Macaca fascicularis: one gene and its partner. The protein of the gene in region 2 purifies or fractionates together with the protein of the main gene of each other region. This does not show direct contact. Links are inferred from orthologs where the notes say so. Each region holds a gene or a part of one and is shown on either strand. Other genes may lie near its edges.

The links. Proteins that work in one complex are often made in the same cells at the same time.
Region 1: the proteins of POLR3B (region 2) and POLR2L purify together in Homo sapiens (affinity purification with mass spectrometry; 5 studies listed by BioGRID and IntAct, with this or other methods). This does not show direct contact. The link is inferred for Macaca fascicularis from reciprocal best matches to the Homo sapiens genes POLR3B and POLR2L.

What each region holds. Positions count from the first base shown.
Region 1 is NC_088388.1:741,958-746,795, forward strand, and holds POLR2L (DNA-directed RNA polymerases I, II, and III subunit RPABC5), read right to left. Parts: upstream 3,334-4,838; 5' UTR 3,313-3,333; coding exon 3,218-3,312; intron 1,319-3,217; coding exon 1,210-1,318; 3' UTR 1,042-1,209; downstream 1-1,041. UniProt on the Homo sapiens protein: DNA-dependent RNA polymerase catalyzes the transcription of DNA into RNA using the four ribonucleoside triphosphates as substrates.
Region 2 is NC_088385.1:113,277,466-113,282,322, reverse strand, and holds the start of POLR3B (DNA-directed RNA polymerase III subunit RPC2), read right to left. Parts: upstream 2,982-4,857; 5' UTR 2,907-2,981; coding exon 2,835-2,906; intron 2,679-2,834; exon of another isoform or gene 2,567-2,678; intron 1-2,566. UniProt on the Homo sapiens protein: Catalytic core component of RNA polymerase III (Pol III), a DNA-dependent RNA polymerase which synthesizes small non-coding RNAs using the four ribonucleoside triphosphates as substrates.

The DNA of each region.
Region 1 (4,838 bases), on a different chromosome or scaffold from region 2:
GGGGCTGTGCCCAGGTAAGAGGCGTCAGGCAGATGGGTGGGGGCAGTAGGGTGAGGGGGTTTACATGGTAGAGCCTATAGGCCCTGCTGGGGGCACGGATGGGAGATACCAGAGCCTGGTGTCTGGCAGAGGTACCCTGGAGACGGGAGCCAGGGTTCAGTCACTGATTGTACCCCCCACTGCCCAGGCTCCTGTCCCTAAGGCTCAGAACTGAAGACCCTCAGGCAGACCCATTCTCCCCCACCAGAGGGCACCACGCCAGGTATCTCAGCAGCAGGGCCATCTGACCTGGGGTGCTTGCTGGCAGCACTGCCTGGACAGCAGGGCCTCCTTAGGGCCGCCTCCCAAGCCAGCTAGGGGTGTCTTAAGGCCTGCCCTCCCTGCTAGACTCGGGTGGGACCCTCAGGGACAGGCAGCAGTGGGCAGGGGCCAGCAGGTGCTGGCATCCGTGACCATAGCAAAGACTGGGCCCCAGACGATCTGGTTCTTTTTTTTCTTTTTTTTTGAGATGGAGTCTCACTGTCACCCAGGCTGGAGTGAGTGGCGCAATCTCGGCTCACTGCAAGCTCCCCCTCCCGGGTTCAAGCAGTTCTCCTGCCTCAGCCTCCCGAGTAGCTGGGACTACAGGCGCCCGGCACCTCGCCTGGCTGTTTTTTTTGTTTTGTATGTTTAGTAGAGACGGGGTTTCACCGTGTTAGCCAGCATGGCCTCAATCTCCTGACCTCGTGATCCACCCGCCTTGGCCTCCCAAAGTGCTGGGATTATAGGGGTGAGCCACCGTGCCTGGCCTAAATCTGGCTCTTCAGATTCCAAGAGAGAGAGTACAGGAGCCTCTGCTCAGTCTGAAGAGCACCCAGAAGGAGGGAACCTCAGCCCTGAGATGGAAGGCTCTCCTGGCAGCACCTCCTGCAGGGGTACCTGTGGAACAGGCTGGCCCCAGGGCTAGGAGAATTCATGGCCCAGTCGGCTTCCCTGGGCTGCCGCGGTGAAAGCTGGGCCTAGTCCTGGCCCCTGACATCCTAGTGAGGGCTGGGACCTTGGTAGTTCTGAAAGACCTTTACTGGATTGTTCCTTCCAGAGTGGGGGATGGGACACACACACGCTGTGGCGAGGCATTGCGCCAGCTCCTGGATGCCTCAGCCTTGTGAACTTGGGGCAGGATGCTCATGGCCCATGGTCAGCATGGCAGGTAGGCGGATTCCAGCCTGGTCACTTCTCCAGGGGTGCATAATTGAGCAGCTTCTCGATCAGGTCCACGTGGGCCAGCAGCATCCGGCGGCAGCAGTAGCGCTTCAGGCCCAGGGCGTCCAGCGCATCCCTGTGTCAAGCGAGGGGAGGAACAGAGAGGCCAGCTGAGTTCTCCACGGTCTGCACAGGCCTGGAGCCCACATCCAGGCCGCCTCTCACTGCCTGCTGGCCTCACTCCCCTGCTACCGGCAAGGCGAACACATTCACCTGGATGAGAAGTAGAGACCTAGCGGTATGATCCTGGCTGGAGTAACCTGGCAATGCCCAGATCCCTGGGTGGAGCGTGAGGAGCCTTCTCTCCCACCTACTCTGGCTGTACATATGTGTGTCTAACATATGTAAGAAATATAAATGAAACGAAAACTAGAGGTAATTGGGGGAGCATAGAAAACCAAGGCCACCGAGGTCCTGATGCGCAGCTCCCCTCATCCCGCACCAGCCACAGCAGGGTAGCTCTCCAGGGGCCTGCCCTTAGCTGGTTCATCCCCCACCCCAGAGCAAGCCCTACTCTGCCACTGTGGCGTCTTTTCTCACCTCTGCTTCCTTCAATCAGGGAGAGACTGCTTCTCCAGGGAGCCACCTCTCCCATTTCCCAAGCCAATTAGAAGCTTTAATTTCCCTGGGACCAAGGTCCAGTCACCATCAATACTTCCAGAAAACTCCCACACTGATGGCTCCAATGTGCAGAGAGAGAAGCTTGGGAAAGGGGAGGCCACATGGGAGGCCCCTGCAGTTCATATCCCTGGGAAAGGGTCTGGACAGGCCACCAGCCACTCACTCTGGCAGCCCACTCGCTTTACTCATTCGTCCAGCAAGCTGCACTGAGAGCCTATGGCAGGCTGGCACACACGAGCCTGGGGTTTCACATGTGACCAGGACTCAGCAGGCAAGGGTCAGACTCCAGCAGGGGCACCAAGACTCAGGCACGGTGGTGACAGCAGCACTGAGGGACAAGCACAGGAGAAGGATGCCTCCCCCACAAAGCCCGATGATGAGGGTGGTCAGCAAGTCTGCCCTGCATTTCTTTTTCTGTGTGTGTGTGTGTGTGTGCGTGACACGGAGTTTCACTCTCTCATCCAGGCTGGAGTGCAGTGGCGTGATCTCGGCTCACTGAAATCTTCACCTGCCTCCCAGCCTCAAGCGATTCTCTCGCCTCAGCCTTCCAAGTAGCTGGGACCACAGGTGTGCACCACCAAGTCCGGGGAATTAAAAAGATAAGAGGGCCAGGGGCGGTGGCTCACACCTGTCATCTCAGCACTCCAGGAGGCCGAGGCAGGTGGATCACCTGAGGTCAGGAGTTCGAGACCAGCCTGGCCAACATGGCGAACTCCTATCTCTACTAAAAATACAAAAATTAGCCGGGCGTGGACACGCCTGTAGTCCCGGCGACTGGGGAGAATTCCTGGAGCCCAGGAAGCAGAGGTTGCACTGAGCCGAGATCGCGCCGCTGCACTCCAGCCTGGGCGACAGAGCGAGACTCCGTCCCCCCCAAAAAAAAAAAAGAAAAAATTTCTGGAGATCAGGGTCTCCCCAGGTTGTCCAGGCTGGTCTCGACCTCCTGGGCTCAAGCAAGCCTCTCGCCTCGGCCTCCCAAACTTCTGGGATTACAGGCGTGAGCCGCCGCGCCCGCCTGTCCTGCAGCGAGGTTTGCAGGACATGGGGTGGGTCTGGGAGCAGAGACGAGAGATTAGGACGGAGACCAAGGGCTTTACTGCGGGTGACAAGACGCCTGCCACCCGCCAGGCCACCTAGAATCCCCAGGACACCACTGGTTTGAAGCCCAACTCCGCTCTCTCCCCAGACTTCAGGGGACAATGTTCTCCCGAAAGCAGATCACAGAGCTGGGCCGGAGTGGCCGGGTATGAAGCTGCTCATGGAGCGCCGGCCCCAGGCAGCGCTGCGCCTCCCGCCCCGGCCCGCACCCCAGGGCGGACTCAGCCCCCAGCCCCGGCCCCAGCCCGCGCCTCACCCCTCAGTGTACTCGGCCTGCAGCAGCCCCAGGTAGGCCTCCCACTTGTTGCCGACGATCTTGCCGCAAGTGAAACACCGTACAGGAATGATCATGGCGGCGGCGCGTCCCAGACTGCCCGGCCCGGTCCGGCCGCACGGGAAGCACTCCCCCCAGGCCCCGCCCCGGGCGCGTCCACTATCGCGGGGGGACCGGCTCCGCTCGTTCTCCGCTGCCCCAGCCGTTCATACACTGGCCCCGGCGCAGCTGGCCGCAATTTCCGCCGCCATGGGGATTCCCCATGCGGCCCGGGGCTCCTGGGCCTGCACGGCCGCGGCAGCAACAGACGACACACCCCCGCCCACCATCTTGGTGCGTCCCGGAGCTACGGCGTCTGAGCAGGGCCGAAAGCCGCGGTGGCGGTTCGCGTTTCTCGTGTCCGCTTGACTGACAGCTGCGCGGAGGGAGCGGACGAAGCGAGCGGGAGGCGGCGGCGCAGGTAGAGCGCCCGGGGGGTCGTGGGGGCGTGCGGCCAGGGTCTCGCGGCCCGAGGTGTCCGACCGGGAGCGGCTGGAGCCGGACGCGAGCGGGGCGCGCGAGTTCGAGCCTAGAGCCGACACGCAGCAACAAGTGGGGTCCGGCGCGGGGGCTTGGGGAGAGGGCGGGCGCGGACCGGGGCGGGTCTTCCTGCTGCCCCTCTTGGCCCCGCCGGGTAGTGGGTCCCTCCGCCTCCGCCTCTACTCGCGGGGTGTCCGGGGCTCTCGGCGCCGAGTTCGGGGGTCCCATTCTGGACGCGGCCCAGCCCCTAGGAGCGCCGTCCTGGCCTCGGCCGCGCAGTTACGGCCCCCGCCGGCTGCTCCCCGCCCCGGCCTCCTGTCCGCGTTCTTTCCGCTCCTTCCCAGGAAGGGGGTCGGGGTGCGCCCTCCCCGGTCCCGGCTCTGCTGGGCTGCTGGCCGTCCCGACGCTGAGACGCGCCTCTGAGCACGGGGAGAGGGGGCCCGGGAGGGAGGTCGGGGAGGGCGTCGTGGAAGAGGTGCTCTTTGAATTGAACCTTGAAGACCGCGGCACAGGGGACCCCTGGGCAGACTCCCGGAGGCTGCACTGGCAGGACCCGCTGAAGGCCGCAGCTCTGCCTTGCCCTGGAGCTCAGGGCCTACGGAGGACGAGGGAGGGGGAGCCCGTGTCTCTCGGATGGAGTGCGGGGGGGCTGGCACCAGCACCCTCCTTGCTGTGCCCCTAGGGTGGGGGTGAGGAAATGGGGGGTCGGTGTGCAGTAGGAGGCAAAGAAGACTCCTTGGAGGTGCCAGGTAGGCTGTGGGGGGGTGGGTGGGCTGCAAAGTGGCACCCATGGGGGGGCTCTGGGCTGGGGCTTCCAGCTGGGGTGGGACCTGTGCTGGGTTCCAGGCATCAGCTGCCGCTTTCTCAGGGCAATGCTGGGTCTGCCTTAGTTGCAGGGGAGGAGGATGAAGGGTTTTCTGGATCCAGAGTGGTGCTGGCCAGATCCACTGCACACTTGGGATTTCTGCTCCCAACCTGGCCAGGGCCCTGGGCAGCTTCCCCAGTGGCATTTGTCATACCCCACCCAGCCACGTGCAGAGCCACGAGCGGAGGCCACTTCCCTTCCCTGACCCCCTCCCCCCAG
Region 2 (4,857 bases):
AGGTAAGTACTCAGTAATACTGATAAATATTTATTCAACAAATAACTGATTAATTGGCTCCAAAGCTTGTGTTATTTCTACCATACTACCATGCTGCTGTACTACCATAAGCACAAAAAAATACACACCAGGCATGGCCAGTTCAAGTAAAACTGAGCTCTTATCTAGAAAAAGTTTTAGAGAAAACACTGAAGTTGGAAAGTTTAAGTAAATATTTTAATATCTCAATTTAAAAGGAAATGGCAGCAAGTAGTAGAGATCTACCATCTTCTAGGAGACTCAGGAAAGGCCTTCCTAGGGAAGTTGTATCATAGATATGTGGGATTTAATCTACAAATAGGAATGGGAGAGTGATCCAGAAGGAATTGTACGAGCAGAGTAGAAAGATCTCAAGGGAGGGAGAGGGGAGAATCATGGGAAAAGACGCTAGAGAAGTAACTACTGGTCAGACTGAGGAAATTTATTACAAACATGGTAAACACTAGATTTTGCCCTAAAAGCAACAGAGATTGAAGAATTTTAACCAAGGGAGCAACATAACCATGTTTGTGTGTTTAGATGGACAGCTCTGGCTGCAGAGCAAGGAACAGACTGGATTGGGACAAGTCAGGTGCCAGGTAGGAGAGTTAGGACGTAAGAGAGGAGAGTGGTTCTGGGCTGGAAAACAGTGGGAATGAAGTTTCAGATAAGCATAGATTAAGAACTCAAGACTTTTTAGAGGTGATGGTGGACTGGATCCAGAGAGCAGGAAGAGGAACTGTTATTCTTGAATCAGAAGGCTGGAATTATAGCACTGATCACTTCATAGCTGTGTAAATTCACACAATACATAGAACTCTCCCAGGCTTATTTTTTCAGCTCTCTGGAGAAGCAATCCGATCAGCAGTTAGGGATGAAGACTAGAGTCAGACTGACAAGAGTCAGATTAGCCACTTACCAGCCTTCTAATGCAAGGCTATTTACTTCACATCTCTGGGCCTCTCTGGCAAAATGGGGGTGAAAATAGCACTTATTTCAGAGGATTAAATAACATAACGCATGTTATGGTTAAACAGAGCCTGGTACATTAGCAAGTGCTCAGGGAATGCTGGCTCCTTGATATTTACTTTTCATGGTTAAAATACAGTTTTGCAGCGGGGCGCGGTGGCTCACGCCTGTAATCCCAGCACTTTGGGAGGCCGAGGTAGCGGATCACGAGGTTAGGAGTTCGAGACCAGCCTGGCTAACACAGTGAAACCCCTTCTCTACTAAAAATACAAAAATTAGCTGGGGATGATGGCGGGCATCTGTAATCCCAGCTACTCGGGAGGCTGAGGCAGGAGAATGGCGTGAACCTGGGAGGCGGAGCTTGCAGTGAGCTGAGATCGCGCCACAGCACTCCAGCTTGGGTGACAGAGCGAGACTCCACCTCAAAAAAAAAAAAAAACACACACACACACACAGTTTTACCTGATGAAGATCAGCAGCCTATTGCATGCACTCATAGACTGAATCTGACGAACTGCTAATCCAATTTCCTTAACTTGTCAAATTATTATAAAGAGGTTTTGTTTTCTTTTCCTCAAGACAAGGTCTCATTCAGTCACCCAGGCTGGAGTGCAGTAGCACAATCACAGCTCACTGCTGCCTCGACCTTCCAGGCTCAAGTGATCCTCCCACCTCGGCCTCCTGAGTTGCCGGGACAACAAGTGCACAGCACCACACACGGCTAATTCTTGTATTTTTTGCAGAGATAGCGTTTTGCCATGTCGCCCACGCTGGTCTCAAACTCTTGAGCCCAAGTGATCCGCTCGCCTTGGCCTCCCAAACTGCTGGTATTACCGGAGTGAGTCATCACGCCTAGCCAAGGAGGTTCCTATAATCCGACAGATTTACTCATTATATCACTTTCCTGCTTAAACCCTTCAAAAGCTCTGCTCCAAGACAAAGTCCAAGCTCTGTCAGATGTTTATTGAAACTTTTCATAATCAAGACCCTTACTTAACCCTGTCTTTTATCTCTCCTCCTCTATTTTTCTTCACTCGAATACTACTGGATTTACTTTCCTTCCTCAAAAACATCCAATGGTCTTGCCGAGGAGGTTTCAAGTATCTTATTCTCTCTCCCTGAAATCTCTCCTTTGCTATCGTCTCCGGCCACGTCTCCACTTCCCTATTCCACGTCAGTGTAGATTTTGAGGCTCAGAGAGGTTATGATATGTGCCTTATCAGATAACAAAACATGTCGACAGCCATACTTCATTGGGCAGCTCGCTGTGAGACAGCTGTCCTTAACTTCTGAGAATCTGATGAAAGCTATGGACTCTCTCCCTGAGAAAACACACAGGCAAATTCTTTAGTAAATATTCAGGGCGTTTAAAATTCCCCTGCAACCCAAACTTGAACTTCAGGTTAAAAGGCAAGATGACTAGCTTGGAATTCAGACGATCTGGTTTTACCCCCACAGCCAGCTGCGGTGCTTCATGCAAGCAGCCTGAGCTCCCTGGCCCCCAGTGTCCTTTGTAAGACTGCAAACATGCAATACGTCCCCCACAGTAAGTGCGAGGGCCAGTCCTCCCCACGCACACCTATGCCGGAAGAGCTCCAACCCGAGAGCCAGCCGCGGGGCTTCTCGACCCCTGCAGCGGCTGACAGCTCCTCTGGGCTCAGCCTTCACTCGCGCACGCGGATGCCGGCTCTGGAAAAAGACTGGCACGCGCGACGCTCTGAGCATGCGCAGATGCCCGGCGCATGCGCACAAACCTCCAGCCCGCCCCTTAGCGGCCCGGCACTCCCGGCAACGCCCCCTCAGGGCGCATCCAGGCCCCTGACGCTCCATGAGTGCCTGGCACTCACCTCTACAGTCGGGATCGGCGCAGCCAGCTGCTCCGGAGTCAGGTTCCCAAACTCCTCCGCTAGCACGTCCATGCTGCTCACGAAGGAGGAAGAAGCAGATAGAACCTCCGCGCCCGCCTTCCCTGCACCAAGCGAACTGCAAGACTCCCGGAGAACGGTGCGCGGAGGCCTAAACTGTCCCCGCCGTGTTAGCTAGAGACGCGGTAGAAAGGTTCCGCCTGCTCCCTGCCCGAATCTGCGGTGGAACCCGGATGTGGCCGAGGCCGAGTAGGGAAACTGCGCCTCCTGGTGTAGCTCAGAGGTCTGGCGCGGGGAATCCTAAGCCCCAGCTGTCAGGTTTCTTGCCAATTCTCTGATAATTGAGACCAGGAAAACATAGTGGTTGTCATTTTAAAAGTAATCCGAAGAAAAGTGTAAACGCATAATTTACCCAACTTGAACCACTGAGGCAGAGAATTGTTTAATGTAGTCCAAAATTATATGCGTTGTTTAGTATGGAAGAGCAGGAAACGTCCCAAATGCCTACTAATAGGAGATAAATTAAATAAATGATGGTACATGCGTGTGATGGAAGAGTGTTCAAAATTCTCAAAAGCACTGATGGAAGATGTAGGAGTAAAGACCAGTGTATGGAGAAATTTAGTATGAAAAGATGACATTTACGTTAGTAGGGGAAGGATGGCCTGTCCAGTAAATAATGTTTGAAGAGCTGATTACCCATTTGGGGAAAACACATGTAAGTGAAACCTTTGTGGATTAAATATTGAAATGTTAACAAAAACTTAGAAGAAAATGTAAGTGCAGATATTCATAACGTTGAGATGATGAAAGTTTTCAAGATAGCAACACTCAAGTCATAAAGGATTTCATAGTATAATTCTAAACACGATTTTATGATTCCACGGAAAATTTTTAATTTTCTGAACAGAATTTTTAAAATCGCCAATGAATAGAATTAATAAAAAAATAAATTGGCAGAAGACAAAGGGCTGGTCTCTCTAGTTTACAATGAGCTCATACAAATCAATGGAAAGAAAAATCCTATTAGAAAAAACAAGGCAAAGTGCACCAATTAATTAATGGGTACGGAGTTTCGATTTGGGAAGATGCAAAAATTCTGTAAATGGATAGAGGTGATGGTTGCAGAACAATGTGAACGTATTTAATGCTGCTGACCTGTACATCATTTTAAAGGGTTAAAATGCTACGTTTTATGTATATTTTAGAACAATAAGAAAAACTATGAAAATTTGTAAGTACATGTATGCTTTCCAATTTCTCCCTCATAAAGGTAGAACCCTTGCACCAGGTTAATTCTTCTTATTTCCTAAAGAGCTACTTAAATTTCAGTACTTGTATTTTCTACGTGTTGCACTGACATCTGAAATTTGAGAAGAATGGGAAAAAGACCAAAAGTAGAATCAGCCCTGCCTTTGAAGTTCTTACAATTTACTTATTATGGAGACAAGATACAACTTGTGTCTCATCCTTGTGCATTACCAGATTGCAACCGATTTAGCATCTAGCCTGGAAGGGACTGCGAAAGTGATTTATAGATGGCAGAGGATCTCAAGGTTGGCTCAAGTGTGTTGGTTGTCTATGCCAAAGTCTTCTTTGCTTTCCATTATCAAGGTGGTTCTCCAACTTTAGGGTGTATTAGAATCACCTGGAGAGCTTGTTAAACCATTCTCAGCTTTCTGATTGGTAAACTGGGGCTGAAAGTTTGCTTTTTTTTTTTTTGAGATGGAGTCTTACTCTGTCATCCAGGCTGGAGTGCGGTGGCATGACCTTGGCTTACTGCACCTTCCCAGATTCAAGCGATTCTCCTGCCTCAGCCTCCCGAGTAGCAGGGATTACAGGCACGTGCCACCATACCTAGGAAATTTTTTTTTTTTTTTTTTTTTTTTTTTTTTTTTTTTTTAGAGACGGTGTTTTGCTGTATTGGCCAGGCTGGTCTCAAACTCCTGACCTCAGGTGATCCGCCTGCCTCGGCGTCCCAAAGTGCTGGGATTATAGGCATGAG